4 linked regions of the Arabidopsis thaliana genome follow. The protein of the gene in region 3 interacts with the protein of the main gene of each other region in a pairwise test. Each region holds a gene or a part of one and is shown on either strand. Other genes may lie near its edges. The genes, in order: NF-YB2, NF-YB7, NF-YC12 and NF-YB5.

Region 1 (7,436 bases), 4.1 Mb from region 3:
AATAAGCAATGCTCAGCACAAATTTCAGAAAATGGAAAAAAAAACACTCACAAAAAAGAATACTTTCTCTTACGTTTTTGTTTTTATATGGCAATGTTTGGCTATCCTTGTAAGAGACGAGGGTATTTTCGTCACTTCCGTTTCTTCTCTGTAATAAGTAATTAATTTATTAATAACCAATGCGTGCACCTTTTTACCCATAAGTTAAAGAATAAAATCTATCGTTAATAAAAAATGGCTAATTGGCTTAAGTTGATCATGATTTCTTCCTAGTTCTAGATTTTAGTTGATCATCATAACTTTAATTTGAAGAGAGGTCTATGTTTTTTAAATGGTTCGTTAATCAGATGATTATGAAAGATGCAACATGTGACAATTATTTGATTGCATGAAATTTTAAGATTAAAATGAAAATGGCATGAAACTCTAATTAGAGCTTTTGGGGAATCAAAGTGGGCAGGAACATGGGGAATGGTTGATGACGACGATAAAGATTGCCATCCCACAGTTTTTTTTTTAATTATGTCCCTTCATTTTGCTTTCAAATAAACTAATCAAATTTGTTATGAATTGAATAATCATTTTTAAAATCATTCATCAACCAAGTGGAAGATGTTTACAAGTACACAAGGCATTACTTGTGCATCCAAATTATTATTACCAACTTTCATAAGCTTACTTTTCTTCTTTACATTAATCACTTTCTTGCCGTCCAATTATTTTATTTGGGTTTTTTTACACTCTTTAGAAAACAAAAACATCATGTTATGTCGGTTTTATCCTATTAGAAAACACATCGACAACATTTAACCACTAAATTACATATATATATATATATATAAAATTACAACTATTGATCGTTTTTGTATTATTCTTTACAAGTCAAATTTCCACCGTTGAAATTTTGATTTACAACATTAATCCAGAGTTTAAAAATTCGGATCATCTAATTCATACATAAGTGAATTAATTAATTAAAAGCGTGACATCAAACGTTAGACACATGTGGAGATGAGATTGAATAATGAATATCATCCACTAACCATTATAGGTTAGAGTCTTGTAGCCTATGTACCAACTATCTCTTTTATACTATTTAAGTTTAACTCTCATCTTGCAAGAATCCAAGATTAAGCAGCCTTACTAAATCGGGGAAATAAACTTAGGTTTATAATCAGTGCAATCACATGGCCATAATTATAAATGAGCAAAACAATTGTCTGAAAAGGCCATAAAATTTGTTGGGCCTACAATTTGATTAAAAAAGACGAAGCGCCGCATATATTTTATCTTAAAGCCCAATAATGTTTTCGGCCCAGTAGGTGTTCTCTGTACTCCTATTCTCTGCTATAACTTATCATTGTCTCCCGCTTCAGAGGAATCAGACCTAAGAAGAATCCTCACTCGTAAAGTCGCAGGTATGGCTTCGAAGAGCTCTCGATCTATTTTGTGGTTGGAAATTAATAGTCCGTGTATTAAAGTTTCAATTTTTATGTCCTTGAATTTGATTTCTTCCATATCAGTGTCGAAACATTAGGCATCACCAGAGGGAATATTTAAGGTTTTTCTTTAAAAGCTGAAGACTTGATTAGAAATTAGTCCACTTTGATTGAAATGTTCATGTTTGTTTCAGATGCATTGCATTAGGAGCTCAATCCTGCAACACTTGAGACTGAGAGTCTCTGTCAGACCCACTTCGCTTCTTCAGAACGAGAATGGTTTCAAGAGTATTGGTATTTTTAATTTCACATCAGAAGCAGCTGCAGATGGAGGCCAAGATCAAATATTGAGCAGGGTTATTGAACTGGTGAAGAAATACGACAAAACCAACACCTCTGAGGTTAGGGATTACAAAACTGCTGCTTTTTCTTTGTGTATAACCTTTTATTTTGGTGAATGGTTGTTTTGTAACACGGGGCTTGTTTACTTGCAGGTTACTGAAAGGGCTGATTTTCAGAAAGATTTGTCGTTGGACAGCTTGGACAAGACGGAGCTAGTTATGGCTATTGAAGAAGAGTTCTCGATTGAGATCCCTGATGAGAAAGCTGATAAGCTTACTTGTTGTGGTGATGTTGCAACATACATACTCTCTGAAACTCCTACCAAAGCGTCTGAGTCCTGAGTTGTATCTCTGCCTTTCTGTCTCTCTTGTTTTCAATGTTTAGTTAATGCAAGTTTAGAGACATGCTCTGTGTCAGTGTGTCTTTGCTTCAGCCAATATGATCATTTGGGTTTTTGCTGCTAAACATTTTATATGATATATATTCTAATGTGATCACACTACTTTTGTACCAAAAACATGGGAGCCTTTATATACATGATGCTTACAGTTGTTTGTTCTTACACTTTGGGAACATGAAACACAATGTAGAGAGACTCTAACTCGGTTCTGTGACTGGAGCGCCAGCTAAGCAAACGAGGACCATAACAAAAAAAATGCTTTTCACATGAAGGAACTTGAAGAATCAGCTGTTTGTGTTCAAATCTTTTGGTTGAAATGTTGTCTCAACGAGCTTGCTATGATCTCGAACTGTGGCCCTGTAACCTGATTTTCCCTGAGGTGTAGACACGGAAACCATTGGTAGAGGAAACAAGTTTGATAGGTTTGTGTATATTGGTAGAGGTGTTATAGCATCTATAGGGCCTAGGCACATATACTGGCTTGATGAAACAAGTGTTTTCAAGGTGTGGAATCGCATGGAGTTGGGAGGGAAGATCGATTTCAAACTCTCCCAATTCATCAGTAACAGCCTTAATCCATTTGGACCTCCTTTTGGATCCAGTGTGGCACTTGATGGCAACGGTGGCACCTGCGAGGATCATGTTAGTATATATTCGGACGGAAGACAAGAAACATGAAGAAAAAAGGTAGAGAAACAAATACCTGGGATAGGGATGGAGTGAAGGTGAGGACGTGAAGTGTCGCAGAGAAGAGATCCGGTGATCACGACAGAGGAGAGTTTCTGTTCACCGTAGCCAGCCATCTCCACCATTTCCGTTCTGGTCCATAAATTATTCCCAAATGCTCCGGTGAACAAGAAGAAAGAGAGTAACAAGAAGCAACGGATGATGAAGAAGCTTCCCATCGTTAAAAACAAAGAAAAGAGGTTTGTTTGTTTTTCTTTGTATTTTGTTAAAGAAATGAAAATAGCATGAATATATAGAGAAGAAGAAGGAAGCTAAAGAAGAGGAAGAGACCCTTTGCGTGGTGGCTTCAGGTCACACAGCTCTGTACGGCAGTGTCTCTCTTTATACCTTGTAGTAGCCTTTTTCTTTTCAGTTGTATCTTTTCTAAATATATTAAAAATCGTGGCTGACTTGTTAGGGTCAAATTTAGAGCTGAATCTTCCAAATGAAACAATGAACCGAGAGCGAAAGAGAAAGAGAGATACGGCACTTGGAAGCAATTACTGAGTGGTTCGCCTACTCTTTCACTCCTTGTATAAGTATTATTTTAATAATAATATTTGGTGCAACGTTTTTGTATCTAGTGTGACGTTTCTCCTTTTCTTTATTTAATTAAGCCAATTCAGTTAGAGTAGTCATGCAGTAACCAAAAGATTCAAGCCTACCCTCAACTATACTCGCACACATTCAGCTTTGAACACAACGGCTTCAACATCGTGGGTTTGGTCGTGTCTACGTGCTCAGAATATCTAGTTGATGGTGGGAGTCAGCAGGGTTTTGACCAAACCACAGTTTCTCAAGTCCTCATTACATTGAAAAAAGTATGGGCTTAAAAGAAGCCTAGATATTGATAATAGGTCCATCACCTTTAATGGGCCATTCAGTTTGATTATCTTAACGGCCCATTAGGATTCTCCAGGTGGGACAAGTATTAGCTATGTCATTAAGAGCTTAATACAGCTGGAAGCTGGTGATTATTGTTAATGTTAACTAATCACACGCTTAGAAAAGCGACAATGGTTGGACCCACAGGAGAAGATCGAGACCGTCAAAAGTGGACAAAACTGGGACGCTTTTTGTTTCCAAACAGCTGTCTGATCTGATTGGTCGATGCAGTTTTGATGGCAATGAACCCCACCACAGACCACACCCTCATGATCCAACCCAATTCGCTCGTAACACAAAAAAAAAAAGAAGTGAAAAATTGACCGAAGGGTCGTTGAGTGGCAGTTACCCTCTGTCTCCCTAACGCCCACCTATCTTCTCCGTGTTTTCCACGCGCTATCTTTCTCTCTTCTGTGTGTTTACCACGCTCCTCTTATGCGCGTCGGCTCGTGACAAAAGTGTGCCGGGTCCACTAACTGTCCACAACACGTGGCAAAGCCTTAAAGGGCTGTCTATCTCTCAAACAAGATCAATTCCAATCCGACGGTCGAGCACGTATCCAGTTGTCAGAATCTTATCAGTAAACGGACGGTTCATATAAGATCACGTGTCAAGTGAGCAGAAGTCGTGCGTCCTCTCTTTATATAAGCTCCGGCGACTCCTTCACCACTGTGTACAATACCAGCCGACACTTAACAATTCACACCTGCTCTTTTTACTCTTTCTAAAACCCTAAATTTTCTCGCTTCAGTCTTCCCACTCAAGTCAACCACCAATTGAATTCGATTTCGAATCATTGATGGAAATGATTTGAAAAAAGAGTAAAGTTTATTTTTTTATTCCTTGTAATTTTCAGAAATGGGGGATTCCGACAGGGATTCCGGTGGAGGGCAAAACGGGAACAACCAGAACGGACAGTCCTCCTTGTCTCCAAGAGAGCAAGACAGGTTCTTGCCGATCGCTAACGTCAGCCGGATCATGAAGAAGGCCTTGCCCGCCAACGCCAAGATCTCTAAAGATGCCAAAGAGACGATGCAGGAGTGTGTCTCCGAGTTCATCAGCTTCGTCACCGGAGAAGCATCTGATAAGTGTCAGAAGGAGAAGAGGAAGACGATCAACGGAGACGATTTGCTCTGGGCTATGACTACTCTAGGTTTTGAGGATTATGTTGAGCCATTGAAAGTTTACTTGCAGAGGTTTAGGGAGATCGAAGGGGAGAGGACTGGACTAGGGAGGCCACAGACTGGTGGTGAGGTCGGAGAGCATCAGAGAGATGCTGTCGGAGATGGCGGTGGGTTCTACGGTGGTGGTGGTGGGATGCAGTATCACCAACATCATCAGTTTCTTCACCAGCAGAACCATATGTATGGAGCCACAGGTGGCGGTAGCGACAGTGGAGGTGGAGCTGCCTCCGGTAGGACAAGGACTTAACAAAGATTGGTGAAGTGGATCTCTCTCTGTATATAGATACATAAATACATGTATACACATGCCTATTTTTACGACCCATATAAGGTATCTATCATGTGATAGAACGAACATTGGTGTTGGTGATGTAAAATCAGATGTGCATTAAGGGTTTAGATTTTGAGGCTGTGTAAAGAAGATCAAGTGTGCTTGTTGAACAATAGGATTCACTAACGAATCTGCTTCATTGAATCTTGTATGTAACTAAAGCCATTGTATTGAATGCAAATGTTTTCATTTGGGATGCTTTTATGTTTTGGTGAGAGTTATGTAGTGATTCAAGTGTCAAAATGCTTACATAGAGAGGCAGCAAAGAAACCAGCTTCGTTAGAATCTGTGAGGAAAGCTCTGTTTGTTGAGAAAGAAGGTCAATTGCGCGAATGTAAGTCGCGGGTGTTGTAGTACAAGTTGCCTTGTTGATCAGGTGCAGAGACGCGGAGAGGAGTGAAGCCTTCGTAGTCTCCGTTGGTTTTAGCAGAGCAAATGTCTGTCATATACCTCAATAGCTCATAATTTTGTACAAATGGTTGATTTATGTATTCCTCCCAAGGCATCCACTGCACCAAATTCCCATTTTCAGAAAGAGAAGAGGTTTATGAGTGTTTTAGTGGATGAGACTGGAGAGTCGTTGAAGTGAGGAGCAAAAACTGTTACCTGAGCTGCCTCAATCTCTGACTCCTGTGCGTTGATCTCCAAAGAAAGGGGCTTTAACATGCACACGAAGAACAAATCTGACTTTCCAAAGAACGCTTTGTGTGTTTGTCTGCCAGAATTTTAAAACAGACGAGAATCAGTTATGTTGCAATATAGAAGATTATGCAGTTGGAGTTGCTACCTGAAGGCCAATATTTGGTCGAATTCTGTATCCACCTGAAAACATACGATGCAGAAGAGTGGGATTAGCTCTTGGTCTCATGTAAACTGTAAAGAGGACAGTGAAAAGTTGAGGCATGAAGAAGCCTTACTCCGGTCTCTTCTTTCACCTCTCTGACTGAGCCATCATGAATGTCTTCACCCTGACTCAACACAAACACAAAAAGGCGAATCAGAGAGCTGAACCTAACCATGTAATGAGCTTTAATAAGAACCAGCACCTCATTCACAACTCCGGTGGGGAACTTCCAGATACCTTGACCTTGAAATCTCCCTGTCTTCTCTTGAACCACCAGCACCTTTGGATTCAAATACAGAAAAGAAAAGAGATGTGATCCATTCTTGGAGATGTTCCAAAAAGACACACTAAAAATCTCATCTCATCAGTAATCAAACCTCTTTGTTGTGGTTAATGACAAAGGCACCTATGCCAACACGGTGAGATGCATTGGCAGGAAGCGTATCGTCTTCTTTGGGAATCCAATAGACAAGCATCAAGTAGTCTTTCTCCGCGTGGTGAAACCAGAATCCCTCCTACACATAATACACAACCAGTAAGTGATATGAAGACTCTCCAAACAATAAGCAAAAGGGGGTTTAAAGATATCTGATTGCGCATTAGGTAACAAAACAAGACCTTAACAGCAGTTTCAGCAAGACCAATAAGCTGCTTTGGCAACTTGATCCACACTCCCTTTTTGCCCTGCGTACATAAAAACGTTTGTAAACATTTCACAGTAGATCGGTTCATAGTCCTATTCACCGTCTATTACTGTAGTGGAAAAGTTGAATTTAATTTTTTTTGCAGCAAAGTGAAAGAGAGTTTCTGGCCCGCATTAGAATACAACAATTTTCAAGCGGAATAGTGACACTAACACTTTTAACACCCAAACTTTTACAATGATTCTTCTATGTAACAACAAATCGGTACCAGTATCTTGATTCGGATAACAAAATTTGTCATTTTGATCGAATCCAATAAGATCAAATTTAACAAGAGGAAGAAGGAAGAGAGAACCTGAAGAGTCCAGGTAGATAGAGAGGATCGGAGAAGTGTGGAGAAGAGAGAAGGATCCATGGGATGAGTCATCTCGGTCATCACGCCACCGTACTTGTCTTGAACAGACGGAAGCAGTGTTGTTGCGTCCTCACGGGACATGGGATTTGTGGAGGAACTAGAAGCAGACATGGATCTGTTCCTCGTGGTGGAGCAACTGTGAAACGCAGAGAACCCATCAGCCGGAGGAAAACGAAGACGACGGCCATTATTCTTATTACACAACAACAATTTGATTAAACCATAA
Region 2 (7,697 bases), on a different chromosome or scaffold from region 3:
GTGAAATTATCTCAATGTCGATGGTTGTTAATTCTCACTGTGATAATTGATTGTAACACTGATAGCTAAAGGCTATATCGAAAATCAAATCTGACGGAGCCGCGCAGGACCCGACGGCGGAGATGGATTTAAGATGCGATGAAACGATTCTTCTCCACATAATGGTCTCGATTCTTCGGGGAAAATTAGGAAAATTAGCATCAAGAGAAGAAATCGCAGATAAATCTTGAAAATGAGATTACTTACAGGAAAATTAGATCCGGACACGCGGTGAAGATTACTGAGAGATTAGAGCTCTCAGAGGAGATTCTCCGATCTACGATAGCAGAGAGTGATAAAGAGTGTGATAGAGAGAAAGAGAGATTTGTTGGAGAGGCCTATTTGCGTCGATTAGGAATCTCTCCCTGAATTAGTATCGGCCTGCAATAGCCATTTTTTACAGACTTTGAAAATCTTAATATGATGGAAGTTGTAGTTATCTGAAAGGTTTAGAATAACTAGAGTGGAGGGTACCAACAGCGATACTGATATCCACGTAGTCTCTGTAAATGATATCATCTCCATCGATAACTGCATTTACTACAGGTTGGTGCTGGAGGTTTGACTTGAGCACCATTAAACAAGAAACTCGTATGGAAAAAATTTAAGAAATTGTTTCGGCAAAAAAACTAGTATCCAACATATCAAGTCCAATAAAAGATAAACTGCAAAAGGCTGCCTACGTACCCTTAGAAAGGGATCAAGCCACACGTAGTTCATATCGCGATAAACGAGCTAGGCCATTACTGGAGGAAGGTCGTATGTCGAGTTAGGCAGTTTTAGGGATGATCCGGCGGATAAGTGACGAGTTGAATGGCTTCTCGAGACGTGCGAGTAGGTTAGTTACTTTGGGCGGGCAAGTCGGCGAGACACTTCGGACGGACGAGTAAACGAGCTACTCAAGATGGATGGGCAAACGAGGTACTTCGGACGGGTGAGCTGACGAGCTGCTTGAGACGGGCGAGCTGATAAGCTACTTGAGACGGGCCGGCTGGCGAGATACTTCGGACGGGTGAGCTGACGAGCTGCTTGAGACGGGCGAGCTTATAAGCTACTTGAGACGGGCCGGCTGGCGAGATACTTCGGATGGGTGAGCTGACGAGCTGCTTGAGACGGGCGATCTGATGAGCTACTTGAGACGGACCGGCTGACGAGATGCTTCAGACGGGTGAGCTGACGAGCTGGTTGAGACGGGAGAGCTGACGAGCTTCTCTTTGTCTCTAAGTGTGCATATGTTTTTTTTTTTTGATCATATTGTAAACAATATAGTTTAAAACCTGATGGTGGGAATATTCCCGCTATACAACAGTATCTCAATATTTCCGGTAGAAGGAATTTTAGATTTGTCTTTCATGGTAAAAGAGAAAGATAATTGATAATGTATCCATAAGAATCCATCCACAATATAAATGTATTAATTCGTTTGTCTGATTGGATAATTCATTATCACTGGATGACATTTATATTAAGTTTTAACGTATTTGTAAACATAATTAGCTAGAATGATTTACCAAATAAACAATAGTTCAAAATACACAAAATTATTTATTTTTCTTCGCATTGTTAACTGATATCAAATGTTAGATGCACTTGAAAAAATGTTGTTATGGATGGAACAAACAAATAATATGATACAAACCACTAAAACATTCAACAGCAATATAGAGATAAGATTATCGATATGGTTAATGTATCCATATCAAACGCTTTTCATGTTGAAAGATAAAGATAATTGTTAATGTATCCATATGAATCCATCCACAACATAACTGTATTAATTCGTTTGTCTGATTGGATAATTCACTATGACTGGATGACATTTATATTAAGATTTACAAATAAACATCAATCCAAAGTACATTATCCATGTTTCTTTGACCATTTATCCACATGTATATAGACATGTTGATACAATTTTATCGAGCTATAAACATATTCGCAGCAAATCAAAGACATATTTGTCCATTAATGATTGTCCAAGCAGTCCAGTCCATGATCATCTAAAGACTCACATGATAGTTTCATACTAATACATAAGTTTATACATGAACAATAAACGTCAATCCAAAGTATATTATCCATGTTTCTTTGACCATTTATCCACATGTGTATAGACAGTCAGTTACGTAGACCTCAGTCAGTTAAGGAACTTCTCCAAATCTGCCAACATCTCTACATATTTTAATGTAGACGTAATAGGTTGGTTTGAGGATACGAGGACACCGTCAACAATGAGGAGATAAGCAAGCCGAAGTCTGTGGTAAGAAGATAAGGTCTTGTGATTAACATTTTTGAAATATCACCTAACGTAGCATTCATGTCTTCACCTATTAGCTCTTCACAATGTTGGATATTATAAATAAAATTAGCACACGGTTGAATAATTAGAGCAAATAAAATGATTGGAGAAGATTAATACCTTGCATTTGAGGACCGAGTAGAAGTTACTAGCACACGCCGGAGACGACGAATCGATTGAGAGACAAGAAAATGAAGACCATGACGGGAGAACAAGTGTTGACGACGACGACGGGAGAGGACGAATTAATGTCGGCCGATTGAAAGCTTTGTTGACGATAACGACGGGAGAGGGACGAGGAAATGACTTTGCCGGTAGAAAACTCGTTGGGATGATCGCCGGAGTCGAGATGATGTTATCGTCGTTGTGATGATTTTAACTGCCCAGATAAATGAAACTGTAAAATCGTCGTGAAGGATTGGGTGAGAAAAAGAGGTTTCTCACAAATTGGTTTTAGTTTAGAGATTGAGATTAAAAAATTAAACCGAAAACCGGCTAAATTTGTTAGGTTTTGTTAAACTAACGATTTCAGGGTAAAGGGGTAATTCTACTGAGTTAAAGTGACTAATGCTTTTAAAGTGCCTATTTGTGGCCAAAGTTTCAAAATAGTGCCTTTACGTGTAATATTCTCGGATAAATAACCACCATATATATTTACCAGGCTAGAGTTTAGGAAATTACTATAATACAATAAATCAAAGCATTATGGAGACATGATAATTTATAGTTGTCTACATACTAAATAAACATACTACGGAAAATAATAAATTGAAAACACTATTTGATGACAATATGTTACATGATTGCTATTTTCTTACACTTTTCTTTATTATCTGGCAAATAACAAAGAAAAAAAAAAAAAAAAAAAAAAAGGAGCGAGTCGCATGGAGTTCCAAATTTGGTTGGCAAGGTATCCATAAATAGAAAAGTTGCCTAGTTTCATGCACTAAGCTTAACCATAAAATCAGATTGATCACATGTGGTTAACATCAATCACAAAAAAAAACAAAGAGATAGAGATATGACTGAGGAGAGCCCAGAAGAAGATCATGGGTCTCCTGGAGTAGCTGAAACAAATCCAGGAAGCCCTTCTTCAAAGACCAACAACAACAACAACAACAACAAAGAACAAGACCGGTTTCTTCCCATTGCGAATGTCGGAAGGATCATGAAAAAAGTTCTTCCCGGTAACGGTAAGATCTCAAAAGACGCTAAAGAAACCGTTCAAGAATGTGTCTCGGAGTTCATTAGTTTCGTCACTGGTGAAGCTTCTGACAAGTGTCAAAGAGAAAAGAGGAAGACCATCAATGGAGATGATATCATTTGGGCTATCACAACTCTCGGTTTCGAAGACTACGTGGCTCCATTAAAGGTCTACCTCTGCAAATATAGAGACACCGAAGGAGAGAAAGTTAACAGCCCAAAACAACAACAACAAAGACAACAACAACAGCAGATTCAACAACAGAATCATCATAATTATCAGTTTCAAGAACAAGACCAAAACAATAACAACATGTCATGTACTAGTTACATCTCTCATCATCATCCTTCTCCATTCCTACCAGTGGATCATCAACCTTTTCCCAATATTGCTTTCTCTCCTAAATCATTGCAGAAACAGTTCCCGCAGCAGCATGATAATAACATTGATTCAATTCACTGGTGAGAGAGACATTTGCTTTTTTTCTTCTTTCTTTTCACATATTATATGCTTTTCTTTACCTTTTGTGAGTACATCTTGATGCTTATATATATTTGTTGCTATATAGACACTAGACACGTACATTTTGATATTTTCAGTATACCCATGGTTTTGTGTAACAGAAATTCGTCTTCATATATTTTCCGGATTAGTTCGTCTCGAGCAAATATAGCAATCTCTCATGATTTACAACAGTAGAAACTAATTCCATGCTGCTAATTGGATTAGAATACTTACCACCTACGGTTTGAGAGTTAGTGGTCTAGCTTATAAGGTTTCCAGTAGAGAATAGCTTAATTGGAAGAGAATGGTGTATTGTTTCTCATTCATTTACTCATGTTATGATTGATAAAGATGATTGCTTGAATTAAAGAACTTCAAATTGTTCCTCACTCACTACTCTTAGTATCTTGACCTGAAACTATAAGTTATAAAAGTAAATGCATTTCTAATACGATGTATGTAAAATGTTGCTGCTATGAATCTGATTGAATATAACTTCTTTTTTACATATAAATAAGAGAAAGTGGAAGCTATGAATCTGATTGGATAACAAACAACCCAATTATATATTTTTTTTTTTTTTACATAAGAACAAGAGAAAGCAGTAGCTATGAATTTGATTGGGTATAAAGCAACCCCAATTATAAATTTTTACATATAAATAAGAGAAAGTAGACTTATTCATTTTGGGAACCAAACTTAGTCATCCTTGTAGACCAAAGTCGGGTACTCTGGATTCCACATGTTGTTTTCCACATACTCCATCAGCCCCTCCTGCGGAATACACAAGACCGCGTCAACATAACTAACATTTAGGCTTAGTTTCTGGTTTAGTCTTTATTTTCTCTAAGTGAGAAATCAGGTAAACACTCTTCTGTTCTTTACATATAATCAAACCCGATCGACATTCTTCGTAGAATACGATTTTATGATCAGGAGTCCAAAACACGTGAAAGATGGGATGTTGTTTTGACATCTTTTCTTTTTCTATCATTTATGATTATATTAAAGCAAGTCATTAGCTGAATTGTTACCTCATCCAGCTTTTGGATCTCTCGAGCGTCCATTTCTCTATATCCTTCAACCAAATCCTCCTCAATCGCTTCCTTAATCACCGCAGCTGCTATTCTTTTTGTTATGTCTCGTATCCTGAAATTTCAATTCCACATGCCAAATGTAGCAACTATATCAAAACATTTTCTTATGTAACAGTAAGGATGTTCTTTGATTGTGTTACTCTTACCTTGATATTGGAGGGTATATAATCCCCTCTAGCACTTCTTCTTCGCTCATGTATGCTGCTAGGCTGCAGTAGTTTAGCAGAACAATGTCATGATTCCACATTCATAAATTACGGGACTTGTTTATTTTCATGGTCTCCTTAAAAATATGAGTTTTACACTAACTACAATATGAAACCTCAACCGAAGGCCTACTATTGGGAATACCATTTGGAGAGAACATGTCGAACTACTGTGGTTCCTGTCTCGTGGATGGGGGGTATGTTATAGTTCGTGACATCAGCCAAATATGCGGACATTCTTAATAATCATTTAAATTTGGTCCGTAGTTATATATCATGGTACTCACTTCAGCTTTAGTTGAGAATAAATCAGGAATGATAAATGAAAAAGGTAAAGAAAGGAGCTTACCACTCGGATGCGGCCTGAAGCATCCCGTCGGAGACAATGGGAGCACCAGATAAAAGAGTGCCAAGTCCAATACTACAATAAATTTTACAGGATTAGAAAATCAATTTATTTCATGACAATTAATGTATCAATTCAAGAATGTATGCAATTCTTTCGGACAATAAACAAGAGGAACCAACCCTGGAAATAGATACATGTTGTTTCCCTGGTTGCAATGTCCTACATGACCATTTCCTGCCACAAGAAAAGGTACTAATATTTGAAAAAGCCTCATATAAAATGGCGTATGCTAAATGATACAGAGGTCCTCATACATACCAAATTCCACATTCTTGAATGGGCTTCCACTCGCAAAAATCATATTTTCGCCTAATATCGAAAATGCATCTTGAGGCGTGCATTCAGCTGTTATTCAAAACACAAGTACCTATTACATCTATCCAAAAAAGAATCACAAATAACCGCAAAACACATTTTATGGCAAAGAAAGAAGACAAATTACCATTTTTTGTGGGGTTTGACATTGCAAATATAGCAGGCCTTGTCGAGGTTGAACCTTTCATTGCTTCTAAAACCTTCAACACAATATCCCAACAATGACTTCAAAAATCAACTACCATATGTCAGAATCATGCAAGCAATGAGCTATGCTACATTCTACTAGCTCACTCATCTACTTAGCAGTTACCATGGAAACCAGATTATGAAGACAGTGGTCACTGAAGAAATACTAGATTTCATTTGCGCGCTCATCTAATTAGTTAAATCACTGATTCTGTTGCATAGCACTAGATATGTTTAGCCGTTTGGCAGCTTTCATTACCTCTTTTGAGAATAACCCTCCAACTGCTGATAAACCAAGAAGCACATCAGGTTTAACTTCACGAACCTAGCACAGATGAAACAGAAAACCGTTGTTTCTTGTCAGTATTAAGCAGGGAAACTTTTTTAAGGGAGAATTTCTCTCCAACACCAGACTCATTGCCAAATTAGATTTAGTATACTTGATGAACATATTGATAGAAAGAATAACAGACCACTTCCACAAGAGTTGCTCCTTCTTTTAATCCCTGACGCTCCATTTCTTTAGTCTTCCTAGCAAAAGGCTGAGCCTCTGGGTCAATATTTTCCCGGCCTTCGGTGATAAGACCCTGATTTAAGTGCAAAAAAAAGAGTTCACAACTTCAGCTCCTTAAGCTATTGGACCAAAACACACGCCCAAAAAAAAAATGATGATGAAGTGATTTCATCAGCAGTAAAAGGAAACCAGAGGGAAATGGCTTGACTGGCTAAAACGTCTTATCAGCTCCCTAATCTGAAAATCAATTACTCCACTATAGAATAACATACCTGCGCATCAACCACCCAAAATTGACTTTGTGCACTATCAAACGCAGTTTCAGTATTTCCCAACATTCGTGCCATTGTCTTCCTCGCAGCATTTAGAACACCAATTCCCGCACTGAAGAAATCAAAGATTTTTACAAGGAAGCTCAGTATTCTAATATAAGTAGTCTAAGCTAACTTATGCAGTGATGCAGCTGAAAGTTTTCATTTTAAATCTCTTCAAACATTACTCAAAACCAACAAATAAACGAAAGATCCCTGACCAACAAATAATTAAACAGTAACAGCAAGACCAATCTTTTACCAATACCAATTTCTGGTAAACTAGGACCAGGAAAGACGAGAAAAACACCAACCGAGAATGGCTTACCTTCCCGCGCCAGCAACAACGATCTTCATCTTTGGGAAATCAATCATAGGTCGCCCCTGTGCTCTAACTGCTCCAAGAAGACCAGCGATAGCAACCCCTGCTGTCCCCTGAGCGAGATCATGAAAACATAGAATGAAAAACAAGATTCTAGTATCAGCATTTAGATTTCGAGTTCCCTTCGTCAGTCTCTTTAATGCATCTGGTCGTATAAAAAAGATTAAGAATAACTATTGAACGATAAGATGATGGATTGAGCACAGAAAATATGATACTTTTATAAAT
Region 3 (8,988 bases):
TCATAAAAGCAAAAAGAAAAATGAATCTCAATTTATAAATGTATATGGATTTATGCGACCAAAATCCATTTGTTACTAAGAGGCTCTTGGCATTGGCTCGTACATCCCCTCATGTCGGGAGAGACCAGAGTATTTAATTTGGTTTCTTTCATCCCAAGCTCCATTCAAACCATCTACCTCTACGGTTTGTTGAAATACTTTACTAATTGAGTTATTGACATTCGACAATAACTTGAATATTAATTTGTTGTAAATATACTTTAGATTAAAGATTCATATAGTTAAATTAAAAATTGTGGTTAAACTAAAACATAAGTATTTTAGTTATTTTCTAACGTTAACACTATGATGTTCAATATCTCAAACATCAACAAGTAGGATAACACTATAATTTTGTTAACCATTTTAAAGTCGGAAACGAAGAAAAAAAAAGCATACAAAAATGTAGAAACATGTGTGCTTATGTTTGTTAAATATTATTATCATTAACAACTTTTTTTAGCAATATCTCAAAAATCAACAAGTAGGATAAGGAACACCACAAGTTGCTAACGTTTTCTTAGCATTTGCAGAACCAACATATTGACTATATCTTGGATCTTTAATATATGTACAAAAACACGGCTGTTGCTCCTTCAGTTTCCCGCAACACTCTGTAGACGGTGGTACTCCTGTGAGCATTGGTGTTGCGCATGAACTAAGCTGTACTGCATCACACGTTACATCAGCTTCTCCTCCAGAAAGTTTGACCTCAGTTGCTCTGATTGAAACTGGAGAAACCATGACACCCACCACGAACACAATGAACACAAGCGCCGTGAACTTCATGTCTTCAAACTCTAGGAACTTTTCTCAACTTTCAATTTTTTTTTTTCTTTCTTAAAATGTGTATTTGAGAATGTGATTTGATTTTCAGGATGGTAGAACTGCTGTTATATAGATGTAGTTGTAACGGACAAGTTTTTAAGTTTGGTTTTATTAATACACGTTCATACATATGGCAATCATGCATGAAAACGTGGAAAATAATGATTTACTAATTCTAAATTTTAACCTACCTAGGGAATTACTAATTCTCATTTTCGGTTACCCCTCCAATCTTTTTTTTAATTATATATCATCTTAATAATCGAATAGATATATAAAATTCTAAAAGACTAAAGACCAATTTAATTGACTGATCGTTATTGAACGTTAAAATGGAGAATGCATGGTGTGTCAATGTAGATATACGTACTAATAGAATAACATTTGTACCGTATAACATTTTTGAATAACATAAAATGACATGTTATGGTAAAAAATAAATATACTAACAGAATAATTTGTTATATCGTTTTCTTCAAAGAAACAGGCCATAACATTACATTCTTTTCTTTTGAGCCAAAAACATATTTAAATCAAGATGGATTTAAACTGCTTTTTTAGTCGCCTTGGCTTGAACATGCTTGAGATGGTTCTAGCTATATTTAAAGAAGAATAGTGCTTGGATAGGGTAGAGGACATACGAACGCGAATGTGGGGCTCTTTTGATCATAATAAGGCGATCTGCTTCGTGGAATTCATTCGGTGTTTGATTAAACAACATCTTCATTCGCATTGTGATGTTAGGCGTTTTACAGATACATGAAATGATTTGTCAGTTTCTCATGACCAAAACATGGTTCATCCGCTAGAAAATTAGAAAAGTGATTTTGAGACTCGTTTTAAAAAATCTTTATGAAGATTAAACCGTTTGGACTGACTGTATGATTAACTTTTAAGAAGTTTTTTGGTACTTTTTATATTTTTGAACAGTTCCATTAATGATCTATCGTGTATCACGGTCACATTGTTACTTTGTTAGTAAGAAAAAGGTAAAAATGTCAACAAAAAAATACGAATTTTTGAATTTGGGACGATTAAATCATAAACTACGAGGAAGACAAATAAATTTAAAATCGTAAAATTTTGGTTAACTTTAAGTTTAAATGACAAAGTTTGATTGACCAGTCACTTAGGCATGGTGTTTAGTAGACTAATTAAAAACTTTTACGATATTAAACTCCTGTTAGTCGTCTCTGTTGTATCTAAACGACATTGTTTTGTCAGTTGAAACGAGACAAAATCGCCAAATCGAAACTCAAATCAAAATCCCAAAAAAAAACATCAGTTCAAATTTACCATTATTATTATTTAAAATAAATCACTTAATTATTGAAACACGGGAATAGACTCTCAGCCGTCACACCTACTGCCCTCCATCTTAACTGGCCATGCATTGGATACTATAATATGATATGTCACCTCCCAATTCAAAACCATATCTTCACCATCGACTCATTGTTACATAAAGATTTAGTTTTAAATTTTTATTATTATTGTCATTAATAGCTTGTTTTAGTAATATCACAAACATCAACAAGTAGGATAAGCAACATCACAAGCTGCTAACGTTTTACGAGCGTTTGGAGAAGTAACATACGAACTATACAACGGATTTTGAATGTATGTACACAAACAAGTTTCATGCTCCTTCAGTTTGCCGCAACAATCTGTAGATGGTGGTGCTCCTGTGCTTACTGCTGTTACACATGAACTAAGCTGCGTCGCATCACACGTTACGTTCACTTCTTCTCCGGAACCTTTGACCACCCTTGCTTTGACTGGAACTGGAGACAACATGGTACCTAACACGAACAAAATGAACACTACTCCCGTGAACTTCATGTCTTGAAAATCCTTTTCACAGCTTTATTTTTTTTTTTCTTTGAAGTATATTTGAAAATGTGTTTTGTGATTTTCAAGATGGTAGAACTATTGTTATATATAGTAGATGTAGTTGTAACGGACAAGCCTTTAGGTCTTGTCTTATTAATTAACGTTCATACATTTGGCAATCATGCATAAAGACGTGAAAATAATCATGATTCACAATTGCTCAAACACATGTTAAGTATGTGGTACGTCCGTTATAGTATATGTATAATTTTTTGGACCTAGTTGTATAAGCTGTATTTAAGAATAAATATCAAGTGGGTCTATAAAAAAGTTAGAAGAAAGTTTCATACGTGTTAAGTTTGTTTACGTCCGTTAAAGTAGATAATTTATTGGGCCTAATATGGGCTGCGTTAACTAAGATAAAGTGGGCTTCTTAAAAAAGTGACAAAAAATTGTCTGAGCCCGGGTTCGAACCGGGGACCTCTAGTGTGTGAGACTAGCGTGATAACCGACTACACCACCCAGACGATTTGTTAATAATTTGAGAAGCTTATTTATATTGCCAAAGTTACGGATTTGAGTTTCTGTGATTCTTGCCATTATTCATGCTACTTGACTACTTGAGTCCTCGTCCTCAGATTTATATTCCCAGAAGAAACAAAACGTCTTAAATATTCTCCCAGGAATATCAAAATGATGATAACAACTTATCAAGCATCTTCATCATCACTCTCCGGTTGTTTCTTTCTTACTCACCGGTACGTTTACTATTGTCCATTTATAATTCGATTCTTGTATTGAAAAAATCTCTGGGTTTGTTTTCTTTATGTGTTTTGATGGTTTGGTGATAAAAAAGATTGGATTTTTAATTGCCACTTTACATTGTTAGAACAAATGTTGAATCGAGCAATGGAAAATTCCGACATGAAGAGGAACAGTTCTACTTTGTTGGATTTACCAGTCGTTAAGGTAAACCAAAAATCTTCAAATTGGATTGATTCTCCTTAAAGCTCAGGATTTGATGATGTTTCTTTGTTTTCTTTGGGATAAATTTCTGTAATTAGTCGTCTTTAGTTGTGGAGGCTATACATATGTCAAGAAAGAAACTTGGTTGGTACAATGAGAGTAGAAGAGATTCAGAGACTGTAAAAGCTAGAGTAGAAGCGGGATTGTCCGAGGTAAAGAAGTCGGTGGAGGAGCTCGCGTTACTGATAAAAAGGTCGAATCGTTCTGCGGGGTTTCAGGAAAAGGATATGGAAGTGTTGAAGATGGAGGAAAAGTATGCGGAAGTTATGAGAGTTTTGGAGGTTGTGAAAGAAGAAGTGAGTAGAGTGAAGCTTGATGTATCATCTGTTTTGATAGAGAGAGTTGCAGCAGAGGAAAAAGTCGAAGAACTGCGGTTTAAAACGGAAGGGGGTTTGAGATTGTTGGAGAGTCTGAAGAAGGAAATCGAGGTTGCGAATGAGGAACATTTGATGGTTGCATTGGGAAAGATTGAGGCGTTGAAAGGATATAAAGAGATAGAAAGACAGAGAGAAGGGAAAGCTATAAAGGTTTTGGATTTGTTGGTGGAAAGGAATAAGAGAATCAAGAACATGTTGGAAGAGGCGGAAAGATCGAAGGATATTGAAATTGAGTTGTTTGAGACGAGTACGGATGTTGAGATGTTGGAAACACAGTTAAAGCTTTTCAAGAAAATGGAGAGGAGAGTTCAGGGGAGAGATAGTAGTAGTATGTCGAGATCAAACCGTTCTTTTGGAAGAGGGAAGTATAGTTTATCGGTTTTGAAAGAAGTGACTGAAGGGAAGAAGGAGGAACTTGCTTCTGTTAAAGTAGAGATCTTCAGGGTCATGACAGTAATGGATGCGTTGAGGAATGAGATTATCCGAGCCAGGGATGAAACAGCTTGCCTTGGAAAAATCTTGAGGGAAGATGATGTTAAGATTGAGAAACTCAACTCAAAGATTCTTATCGAAAAATCGAAGTTGGAAGTGGTATCTATCGCCGAAGAAAGGATTAGCTCTCTTGCTGAGAATTTCGTTGGTTCGCTTGAGAAGATAAAGAAAAGTAGAAATGCTGCAAAGAAAGAGGAGTTCCTTTTCAAAGAAGAGAAGACGGTTACAAAGGCGGAAACACAGAAAACCAAACTTGATATAGATAAAAAGGAAAGCGAACTGAATTCAAAGTTGGATGAGCTTGAAAAAGTGAAGCACACTGAGGCTTTAGTGCTTGAGAAGCTTGAATCTTTAGTAGAAGACATGATGGAGAGTCGCGAAATGGAGTCTGAGCATTGTTCAACAATCACTATCTCGAGGTTTGAGTACGAGTATTTGAGTAAACATGCTTCACAAGCGGAAGAAACCGCAGAGAAGAAAGTTGCAGCAGCAGCGGCGTGGGTGGAAGCACTCAAGGCTAGCACAAAATCGTTTCTGATGAAGACGGAAACTTTGATGAGAGAAAGTGAAATGACGAAAGCGGAAGAAGAGAGAGAAGTGTTTAGGATGGAAAGGTCATTGTCGACGAAGAGATTGGTGGAGGGTGAGATTCAGAAGATTAAGAGGAACTCGGAAGCTGAAGGCTATATTTCTCCCAAACCAGTTGGAAAATTCACACCGGTCCAACGTGGGAAGCCAAGAAGATACTCATCTGTTGGAACTCCAACTTTCTTTGTAATCAAGAAGAAAAAGAAAGTTCCACGCTTGGCCAAGTTCTTCAGTCGCAGAAGTTAAAAACTCAAATCATTTTGACTTCTGCGTTCAATAACAATTGCTAGAATCTCTAAGAAATCTAAATTCTATGAAATGATTCACATTCACATTCTTGTTCTTGTTCATTGTTGTGCATGATCATATAATACATGGAGTAGACTCATTCTAGCATACGATTGGTAACCATTGTTTTCATTGGCTTTCAACATTTATTTGTATGTTGCTGATCTTTATGAATACACTAGGCCAGTTAGAGGAAGAATTTTTCTCCTGGGTCTGTTCTGTCATGAACTTAGAGTTTCTGTATGTAATTTTGGTTATAGTTGTCTGAAAATGTTGATTTCTGGGTACCATGTAGTGCATATGTTTGGTACTGGTTTGACAATGTGTGAGCATAGTTATATGAATTATTTGTTCTATATCTTTTTTGGGTTCATGGTTTGTGGAATCTTAAAGAGCAACAAGATCTAGGGTGTTGGTCACTGTTCGCTATGGTCTGTTTCTGTGAAAGTTGGTGTCTAACTGATACCATAATCAAGAAATAGGATATATTTATTTTTACTAATGTAAATGTTTGTAAAATCGTTTGCTTGTTTTTATGCCATTACATTTCTATCATTTGTGGAAGTTAAGAGTTACCAAAATCAGAACTCAATAAACTTGATGTGGCTTTGATCTAATCCAGGTTTACTTGTGTGACAACTTCATTGATGAGACTGGATCACATTTAGATGAGTTGTGGCATATTGATATCTTTGGGTTCTTGAAATTACATTTAGACTATGTGCTCTTACTATATAGACTGAATTCGGTCATCAGGTTTCTTCTACGCAGCGCGTGGCTTTCACGGAAAAGGTCTGCGAGTGGTTCTTTCGTATGTATGCCTCACGAGCTCCACGAGGTATATCCTTACTAACGTGTGAGTATTAAATGTTTTCCTCTTTATTCCAGAAAAGTTTGTTCACAATCTTTAAAAGGAATCTCTTAGTCATTGGTACACTCTTAAATGACTATTATTACGTTATGATTCTAGCTCCATATATAGAGAACCCTTGTTCTTGCCAAACTCTACATCTTCAAAGATTTTTCATCATCTGTTGTGAAATATAACATGAGGAGGCCAAAGTCATCTCACGTCAGGATGGAACCTGTTGCGCCTCGTTCACATAACACGATGCCAATGCTTGATCAATTTCGATCTAATCATCCTGAAACAAGCAAGGTAAATTTAGTCAGTCCTAGTTCTGTGTTTTTGGCTTAAAGTCTTTTTATGTATGTTTCTTTAACATTTTGGTCTTAAACAGATCGAGGGGGTCTCTTCGTTGGACACAGCTCTGAAGGTGTTTTGGAATAATCAAAGGGAGCAGCTAGGAAACTTTGCAGGTGACTGATATTAAGAGATGTTTAGAGTACCTAAATAGGAAAAAAGAGTGCATTGACACCTAAATGCTAATTCTTCGACTTGTTTTGGTTACCTACAGGCCAAACTCATTTGCCGCTATCTAGGGTCAGAAAGATTTTGAAATCTGATCCTGAAGTCAAGGTATGTGAGGTTAACTTGAATTATGTTGGCTGGTCTAGAGTTTCTGAAATTGCCATTATGATCAAATTTGTTAGTCTGTTGAGTTTTACTGTTAGAATGTTTTAGTGTTGTTTATTTTTACTGTTCCTTTGACATCTTTCTAAGGTTGATATCAATACTTATAGACAAGATATATGTGACATCAAAGATTTGAAGAAATATGTTTGTTATTACAATTTTTTCCTAAGATATATGTGAATTTTCAGAAGATAAGCTGTGATGTTCCTGCTTTGTTTTCGAAAGCCTGTGAATACTTCATTCTAGAGGTAACATTACGAGCTTGGATGCATACTCAATCATGCACTCGTGAGACCATCCGGCGTTGTGATATCTTCCAGGCCGTAAAGAACTCAGGAACTTATGATTTCCTGATTGATCGTGTCCCTTTTGGACCGCACTGTGTCACCCATCAGGTTAGCTCCTTTTCGCAATCTTACTCGTGAAATCAAAAAAATTATGTTTTCATGTGCTAAATCTTTCTGTTCAGGGTGTGCAACCTCCTGCTGAAATGATTTTGCCGGATATGAATGTTCCAATCGATATGGACCAGATTGAGGAGGTGATTATTTTACTTAATAATTGGTATTATCTGAAACAAAGCATTTTAATGCGATGCTAAGTTAGAATTCATGTTCGTTTATTGCATTTGCACCAAAACCAGGAGAATATGATGGAAGAGCGCTCTGTCGGGTTTGACCTCAACTGTGATCTCCAGGTAGTTTTCTTTGAGCTTCTATTCATACAACAATTGCATTAGTGTATAGTTTCTGTTTTGCAAACATTTTAGATTGAGGATGCACTAGTAAACATATTGTTAGAGAACCCATTTAGAAAAGAACTTCATAGTAGCTTCAATTTGAGAGCAATCTTGCTAGCATCATTGTTAGGACTTAACAGATTTGTGCATAGAGACTAACTAGATAGGGGATAAATATATAAAGGTGTATCCAGAGAAATCCATGAGACATTTGGCATTTGCAGTATTTGATTCATTGAAGGATTTCAATTTGATATCTTGTTGTTTTTTGAGTAGTTAGTTGATACTTGTTGATGAATGCGATACCGAGTTAATTTACTTACGGACTGCGAATAGAAAATAAGAAACCATTTGGTTGTTTGTTCCTTAAGATTTATGTTCTTGCTATGGATTTGTACTTGTGGCTTCGGATCTGCAGTGAACATGAAGCTGCTCTGGAAGACAAAAACTTGAAGAAGAGAAGAAATCTGAAGAGGAATCACCCAACAACTCTATGTTATGTTCACCTTATAATAGTTTATCATAAACTCATTCACTAAACTATGTGTATTATTTATTGTTCCTGAATAAAAATACAATGTTTCGGTGTTTCCTCCTAAACCAAAAAAGAATAATACAATGTTTGATATTTTTACTTATGTAATTTATTTTTTTATTTATTTTATTTTGTTTTTTTTGTCATTTGCACGAAAAAGTTTTCTACACATTTTGATGAACACGTTTTAGGTGGATCTATTTTGGTTTCTCTCTTTAATAATGTCCATGGGTGGGGCACAACTCTGTACAACACCATAACTTTTCGTATCCTTAGTTTTGTATGGCCACTCTTTTGCCACTTCGGAATATTTGCCAAAACTAATGTTAACCAAAACTAATGCTTGTCAAATCATATTGTACCGAAAAATGTAAAGTATGGTGCCAAAGTAAGGTTTAACATCAAAGGACACCAAATGATGTCGAGGAAGGATGTAATTAACTAATGGTATGACATGTAAGCAAGAGATATATTTTTCTTCTATATTCTATGAAAATTGTTTACCAAAATATGTTTGTTTTTAAGTATGGACGGTGAAGTAAACGACACTCCGTCATATAAAATCAAAAGTTCAAATATTTCACATGTTCTTGTTCTATAGATAATATTTATATAGCTGCTTAATGTCCCATTACAATTTTTAAAATACTTCAGGTCATCCGTATGTTTTTTTTTGACATCTATATTAGATTAGCTTAAACAAGTC
Region 4 (7,301 bases), on a different chromosome or scaffold from region 3:
GGGGATCACTCTTGACATCAAAGGAGGAGAGAAGGTTGGTGTGGTTGGACGGACGGGAAGCGGGAAATCGACATTGATCCAAGTCTTGTTCAGGCTTGTAGAACCATCAGGAGGGAAGATAATCATAGACGGGATTGATATAAGCACTCTAGGGCTACATGATCTCAGGTCAAGATTCGGAATCATTCCGCAAGAACCTGTCCTCTTTGAAGGAACCGTGAGAAGCAACATCGACCCGACAGAGCAATACTCTGACGAAGAAATCTGGAAGGTGATGATAAAACATGTTTTGCCTCTTGATCTTCTAAAGCTAAAAACCATTTGTTACATATAACAACATCTGTTTTTCGTTTTTTCTGTTTATCAGAGCCTGGAACGGTGTCAACTCAAGGATGTTGTAGCTACCAAGCCTGAGAAGCTCGATTCTTTGGGTGAGTATTGATCTGTAACGATGGAGTTTGATCTATATATATATCGTAGAAATCTCTGTATCTATATATATGAAGTATTAATACTTGATTGGAACAGTGGTTGATAATGGGGAGAACTGGAGCGTAGGGCAGAGGCAGCTTCTATGCTTAGGCAGGGTTATGTTGAAACGCAGCAGACTTCTCTTCCTAGACGAAGCAACTGCATCCGTTGATTCCCAAACCGACGCCGTGATTCAGAAGATCATCAGAGAAGACTTTGCGTCGTGCACCATCATCAGCATCGCCCACCGGATTCCTACAGTGATGGACGGCGATCGAGTCCTTGTCATTGATGCTGGTAAGACTTAAAAAAGAAACAAACTTGTCATGTTTTCAGTTTTACAGAAATACAGAGTTGATGAATTATGGAATTTTGAACAGGGAAAGCGAAAGAGTTCGATAGCCCGGCTCGCTTGCTGGAGAGGCCGTCTCTGTTTGCGGCGCTGGTGCAAGAGTACGCTCTCCGATCTGCCGGAATATGAATCTTTTACGCCGGCGGGGACTGAAAATATTTTAAAACCTTCTTCAAATGAGATTTGTATCAAAGAAAATTCCTATAATCTCACATGTTTTAGATTCAAAAACGACATCGTAATTTTAGTGCAGCAAGCAACACAGTAAATTTTTAATTCGCTCACTATACTTCAAACAACTCTCTAATAACAATCCAGTAATCTACCAACACGTGAATTTTTCTCTATTCGTTTCTATTTGCAAGATATTTTAAAATTTATATGTTTTTAACATGAAAAGCATCAATTAATTAGTTTTTTAAAGTTAACTAATAATAAAAGAATAGTAAAAATACAGCATATATTTGAGGCAAGGGAAATAAAAAAATTACATTTCAGTTACACTTTTTAAATAACTTCAAAGAAAATGAAATAAAAAATAAATAATTATAAACATCTTATGAAAATAGACTAATAGAGTGGAGCAGTGTATTTTATTATATTGAATATTTTGTATCAAATACATTTTTTGATGGATGCACATGATCTATATAACTTCAGAATTTGCGTGAAACGGTGATATGCGTGAAATTGGAATCTTTGGTTTCTTCAAGGTATAAGTTAGTCGTTTTTGAGAATTACTATGTAGCCTATGATTGGTCGCTCTTCTTCAAACCTTTTTTTGTAGTACTTACTAAGAAAACAATTGCTACATTTTATAATATTATAGAGAAAATTTAACACAGTTAATTGATGATCAACACTAGTGACACAACTAATTCACCGAGATTTTCAGCATGTTTTGGTTCTCGGTTTTTTTTATACCAGAAATCACTTCCAAGACCTTGCATATTTGGATTAACACGACGTCACTAGACAGTAATACACTATTGAACTCCTCACTAACCAGCTTCTCGCTAACACACACGAAAACTTGAGATCAACACCATCGTGCGGAATCATCCACTGCAAACAACATCAAAGGAGATGAAAAGGACCACCAGATACAAATTCAGCTTCATGTTGACTCCTCTTTGGAGGAATCATATATAGCCGCTTTTGGTTCATTATGTTCTTTTCATATGCTATTTTTATATCTTAATTACAGCCCTAATTAACATTCAATTATGACCTGTGTGTAAAAGCCTCATTATGATTAATATATATTTATATTCTTTAACAAAAAGAATCCGTTGAAAACACATTCTCTTTCTCTATCTCATTAGCCAAAATATTTGGCTCCCTCTAAACAGCCAGTTAAATCTTAAATAACATGATTTCTTTTTATGCATCATAGTCCTGTTTTACAACGTCGATATATACCACCTCTATGATTTATTATAGGCCAACACATTAACAACAATATTTAAATTAAGATATATCTCTTTTTAAACTTAAGATTCTATCTCAACTTAACATTTTTTTATTTGGTCAAACATATCAACCAATACATAACATCTTTTGAGAAGGCGAAAATATTTGCTTGATATCAACAGCTGAAATGGTATTAACAAAAAAAAAAAAAAAAGAGTATAATGGTCAAATTGAAATTTGGAGTAAAAAGTATACGTTATTAGCGTGAGTCAGACATGTATAACTTTCTTTATGTGGAAGGTCCAGGGATCTTGTGTTAGTAAATAACATGTGAGAACTGATCTGGATTTATGGACCACTCGCTCTTAACTAATCAATTTAGCCCATTTTTATTTCTTAGTACTATATACTGTTTAGAAAGTGAATCACGTCGAAAATAGAATTAATCTATATCGACATAAGGTCTAAATATCAATTAGGCTTTAAAGAAAACAATATCGAAGTAGTAAATTTTATTTTTCTATATGATGTGTACGGAATAGCTAGCATTTTAGTGTGGATAAATGAATGCGAATAATCTATATGCAAATGCCATAATCTAAAAATATATCTAAATACTGAAAGTCGACTAAGTTTCGCTTTTTGTCGAAAGAAATCAATTGATTTAACTGAATAAGAATTCCACAAACTACGAAATTGCAAAGTTGATTTCTTATATATAGAGGGTTAAGTAGTCTAGATCAGAGGAAAGGGACATGGTAGTATATATCCTCACTGTCGAAATTAATCTACAAAGTTGATGATATATTAGTTCATCTTCATGATTGACGGTTTTAAAAGTTAGATGGTAAACAGTTAAAAACCGGTTTGGTTGGTTGTGGCAGGACTTGTGTTGTTGTATGATGCTCGATTTAATTTTATTTAATTATACCAGTCGAAAATTAATTAAATCTGAATAAATTGTTTAAAAAGCATTAATGAAGCAACCAAAAGAAAATCCCGAAAATGGTTCATAATATACACATCGATCGATCTCCACTCCAATATATGTAAATAAATAAAAATATAGAAAATAACAAAATCAGCTGGAAGAATTAACACAGATTTGTTCAGTACCTCACACCACATACATGTTATATCATCATATACATAAAATTTATTTATATATGTAGAACAATATATGAGAAGATAGAAAAAGATAGCTGGTCCTAAAGAGGAAGATGATGACATGGAGATTAATCAAGGAAAATCAAAAAGCGATGGAAGAATTTTAATTATCTGGCGAGGATTTAGGTCCTCCTTTGCCGTGATGATTAGGTTTCTCACCTTCGAGAACTCGGTAACGATGTAAGTACTTCTTGAGCTGGGCGGCGTAATCATCAAACCCTAGATTAGCCATAGCCCAACAGATATCGTCTCCATTAACGGTCTTTCGCTTCTCCTTGTGGCATTTATCGGATGCTTCTCCCGTGACGAAGCTAATGAACTCGGACACACATTCTTGCATAGTCTCTTTGGCTTCTTTAGAGACCTTTGCGTTTGCTGGGAGGATGTTCTTCATGATCCTTCCTACGTTTGCTATCGGAAGTAGCCTGTCTTGTTCTTTTACCATCATGCTTTCTTCTTGCTGTTGATCCTCCACCACCACCACTAACCCATCATGTTCATGTTGATGATTAGATGAGCTGCTCCCGAAGTTGTAATTCTGGTATCGAGGGATTGGATTTTGGAACGAATGATAATTCCCCGCCATCAGAATCTTATAATTAAAGCAGAGGATCTATAAATCTTGTTTGGTGAGGGGTTCGTTTCAGTATGATTCACAACAACGAATGATGATATAGAACGAAGATATGTAATTTGCCAAACTATATGGCACACAGAAAAAGGAGAGGTTTTAACATAAATGTGTTTATTATGTATACATCTAAAAAAATATTCGTTTTGACAGAGAGATTTGTGTAGTTAAATTAGCTTTATATATAAGTAGAAAGGCAAGAGAGCTAATTAAGGAGTATCTATCTATGTTTGTCTGGTCAGAGAATGGTGGTGACGTGTCATACAAACCAATGAGAGTGGTCTAGGTCACAGGGGAGACAATGTGGCAGGTCTAGCTAATTTCTCTCTCTCTCAATTTTCTTCTAATTATTTTCTCCTAAACCCTTTTGGTTGAGTTAAAACAATTAAAATGTAATCATAGAATAAGATGTGTTGCAAACAAAATAATGTTGAAATGTGTTAAGAATATATAACACATATATCATTCCTTTAGTAGTGAATTATCTCGCCTTTGGGAATGAATATGATATGATATCCTCAACGTACGTGAAGGCGAAAATAGTTTGGGGTTGATGACGTACTTGATGTTACCCTAAAAAGGAAGTTTTGGTCCTCCTGCTTAAGTCAATACCGTCTATCTGTGGATTGACTCCACACTCCAGTTAGTCTGGAAACTCTCCTCAACCAAAAATTATTCAATTATTCCACATTCCTCCTTAAGAGCTAGTCACTTTAATAAACGATAATATCGAACTCGTGGACCATATAAAAGCACGTCTTGTGGTCTATAATTAGTAGTCTGCTTGCCAAAATTGAAGAGGCTATAAATAATATTTGGTTGAATTATATTTTCAACTACTTATTAATAATGTTGTTTTAAAAAAAAAATCGTTTTTTAACTAAAATATTTTATATTTTCGAACTGAGGAAATACATAATTTTTTGTTTCACCACACTTTTGATATATATATTTTGTCAACACATTAGGTTTTTCTTATCCATCTAGAACTCAATCTCGATGATATAACCTACTTTAATCAAACTACCATTTAAATTCTATGAACTTTCAAATCAAAACTAGTTGGATTAATAATATATATATATATATATATATATATATTTCCTCTTATATGTGATTTTATGTTTTTACTTACTTTTTACCAGTATTTAATTATTAGACGAAATTTAGTTTATATCCGCAAAACAGTGATTTAGTTAGTTAACTAGCTATTTATATTTTAAACTTTAATTTATTTTGATTGGCTATACAGCATTATGTAAATTCTGCATTATATTGAGACGAAAACATTTACAAGCTTTGTCGCCTTACTATGGATGAGAATAATATGAGCTGTTTAGCAAAACATTCCCATTTATTATTTAAAGAAGTAATGTAAAGATAGATTTATAAATTACATAGAGGATTTTACAAGATTTTGGAGAGCATGGTGTTCTAGAAGTATGATATGTTGGCTATTATTTTATGTTATTTGTTTTCCCGAAAAACCTAAGTCATTAGTTAAATATTACAGCTACATATACATATATGTAAAATCATTAACAAAGTGAGGACAAGTGTCGACCGATGGTGGATCGGACCACCTTGAAACGGATAAACAAATGTTGAACGCCTTTAGATATTAATTAATTATTGAACGATGCATGATGACGTTCATAGCATTTCTATATTATAAACAGTAATTATTAGTATTACTTGCTCATTAACTTGGTTCTCTACCTCCTAATCAAAAGATGAAATTGACTCGTCATAAATGGTTTCAAACGGTTTAAGGTTGTAATAATGAAACTAGCTAGGTCATATGGTTGCATATGGAAGTTTATTTTTCGAATCCTACACCAAAAGTATGTTTAGTAGAAAAACTAATGATGCGCCTTACTTAGTTACTTAGATAAGAATTACTACTAATGAAAAACTGTGTGTATATAATATGTGTATTTGCTGGAATTTCAGGGAGAAAACATATAAAGCATTAATTAGTTGTTGAAACCATGAGAACGTGAATATACAAATCTATATAGTACAAAATTTAAGATATTAAATCCTAAAGTTGGTCGATAAAATAACACCTTTGTGAAATGTCCTCTCAAGTATGGCTTGATAGAAAAGGAAACGACTAGTGATTTTTTAAAGTTGTTATTAAGGAATATATTTTCGATTCTCCAATGTCTAATAAAATAAATTTAATTAAATTGAATTAAATCGCAAACGCATATATTTATTCATATCGTCGAATAAAAAAGCTGGTATATATAGTCATGCAATTATAGTAATCTAATTAACTAAGATCAGCATAAGCAATATATATATATATATATATATATATATATATATATATATATATATATATATTTGATGGCATTTTTATTGCCCACTTGTAAAGATCGAGTATAGTGAATCTATTAAGCGTGCGAGTAGCTTTGTGCGTGGTCCATGCTGAATTAAACATTGTTTCAGTATGTTTAATACAAATTGTTAGTCTGTCTTTAATTAGTCTTGTCTTTTTTCTTTTCTTTTCTTTTTGTTGTTATAAGTTTTCTCTCGTTATTCGCCAAGAATCCAAACTATATATACACATTTCAACTGGCGAGATTGTTTATAGTTACTTGTGAAAAATGTTGACTTGACCCAGACCCGGGAATGTATTTGGAGTTTGATCACTGGGCTTTCGCATATGGGCCAGTTGATCGCCATGGCCTGTTTCCCTCGGTCTCCACTACGGTTCATTATCCCTAAGTAGCACAATATGCTTGGACAGGAAAATAAAAAAGTAGGAGCATTGTGATGCTTTTTGTGAAACAATTGGGTCATTATTTGGGCTAAGTGAAGAAGTATTAATTAATTAATTAAAAAAAAAGTTTGGGCTGTGTTGTGTATATGACGCGAATGATGAGAGGCAGCATTGGGTCATTATTTGACTTCGAGGGTGGTAATTCGCTTAGCCTCAATTTTGGGCTTGAAATGAAAATAAGCCTTTGAAGTTCAATTATTTTATTCTAGGTACCCAAACAAACAAACAACTATATAAAGAAGATTATTTGGCTTGTACGGAGTTGTTAGACCGTCGTCTTTATTTTTTTACTTTTTCTTATTTTAGACACTTGTGTTATTTATATATATCATGACACCTTAAATAATAGAAGAAAAATAAAAGAAACAGTAATTATCTAAACCAGTTTTAGAGATAAAAGTTCATTCTTGGGTGGTCAACGCAACATGCATTGGTTTAAATTGCGAGTCAAAATTTGACAAAAAGTTTTTAGAGTT

What was found.
Region 1: the proteins of NF-YC12 (region 3) and NF-YB2 interact in binary tests that used the Arabidopsis thaliana proteins (3 or more experiments, as listed by UniProt).
Region 2: the proteins of NF-YC12 (region 3) and NF-YB7 interact in binary tests that used the Arabidopsis thaliana proteins (3 or more experiments, as listed by UniProt).
Region 4: the proteins of NF-YC12 (region 3) and NF-YB5 interact in binary tests that used the Arabidopsis thaliana proteins (3 or more experiments, as listed by UniProt).

The regions. Positions count from the first base shown.
Region 1 is NC_003076.8:19,304,764-19,312,199, forward strand, and holds NF-YB2 (nuclear factor Y, subunit B2), read left to right. Parts: upstream 1-4,463; 5' UTR 4,464-4,650; coding exon 4,651-5,223; 3' UTR 5,224-5,509; downstream 5,510-7,436. Other genes in the region: mtACP3 (mitochondrial acyl carrier protein 3), read left to right, coding at 1,634-1,840, 1,934-2,122; AT5G47635 (Pollen Ole e 1 allergen and extensin family protein), read right to left, coding at 2,518-2,810, 2,885-3,086; NUDT2 (nudix hydrolase homolog 2), read right to left, coding at 5,628-5,816, 5,914-6,022, 6,095-6,129, 6,225-6,275, 6,354-6,431, 6,529-6,666, 6,770-6,835, 7,151-7,436. UniProt on the Arabidopsis thaliana protein: Component of the NF-Y/HAP transcription factor complex. The NF-Y complex stimulates the transcription of various genes by recognizing and binding to a CCAAT motif in promoters.
Region 2 is NC_003071.7:5,652,152-5,659,848, reverse strand, and holds NF-YB7 (nuclear factor Y, subunit B7), read left to right. Parts: upstream 1-3,330; 5' UTR 3,331-3,359; coding exon 3,360-4,007; 3' UTR 4,008-4,458; downstream 4,459-7,697. Other genes in the region: NAD-ME1 (NAD-dependent malic enzyme 1), read right to left, coding at 4,746-4,820, 5,081-5,195, 5,290-5,352, 5,699-5,770, 5,878-5,932, 6,017-6,103, 6,201-6,273, 6,522-6,587 and 3 more.
Region 3 is NC_003076.8:15,219,557-15,228,544, reverse strand, and holds NF-YC12 (nuclear factor Y, subunit C12), read left to right. Parts: upstream 1-6,020; 5' UTR 6,021-6,327; intron 6,328-6,441; 5' UTR 6,442-6,519; coding exon 6,520-6,630; intron 6,631-6,712; coding exon 6,713-6,791; intron 6,792-6,889; coding exon 6,890-6,951; intron 6,952-7,196; coding exon 7,197-7,403; intron 7,404-7,477; coding exon 7,478-7,549; intron 7,550-7,651; coding exon 7,652-7,705; intron 7,706-8,165; coding exon 8,166-8,168; 3' UTR 8,169-8,337; downstream 8,338-8,988. Other genes in the region: AT5G38170 (Bifunctional inhibitor/lipid-transfer protein/seed storage 2S albumin superfamily protein), read right to left, coding at 517-828; AT5G38160 (Bifunctional inhibitor/lipid-transfer protein/seed storage 2S albumin superfamily protein), read right to left, coding at 2,398-2,709. UniProt on the Arabidopsis thaliana protein: Stimulates the transcription of various genes by recognizing and binding to a CCAAT motif in promoters.
Region 4 is NC_003071.7:19,579,432-19,586,732, forward strand, and holds NF-YB5 (nuclear factor Y, subunit B5), read right to left. Parts: upstream 4,188-7,301; 5' UTR 3,990-4,187; coding exon 3,507-3,989; 3' UTR 3,227-3,506; downstream 1-3,226. Other genes in the region: ABCC4 (multidrug resistance-associated protein 4), read left to right, coding at 1-271, 368-431, 529-768, 852-952. UniProt on the Arabidopsis thaliana protein: Component of the NF-Y/HAP transcription factor complex. The NF-Y complex stimulates the transcription of various genes by recognizing and binding to a CCAAT motif in promoters.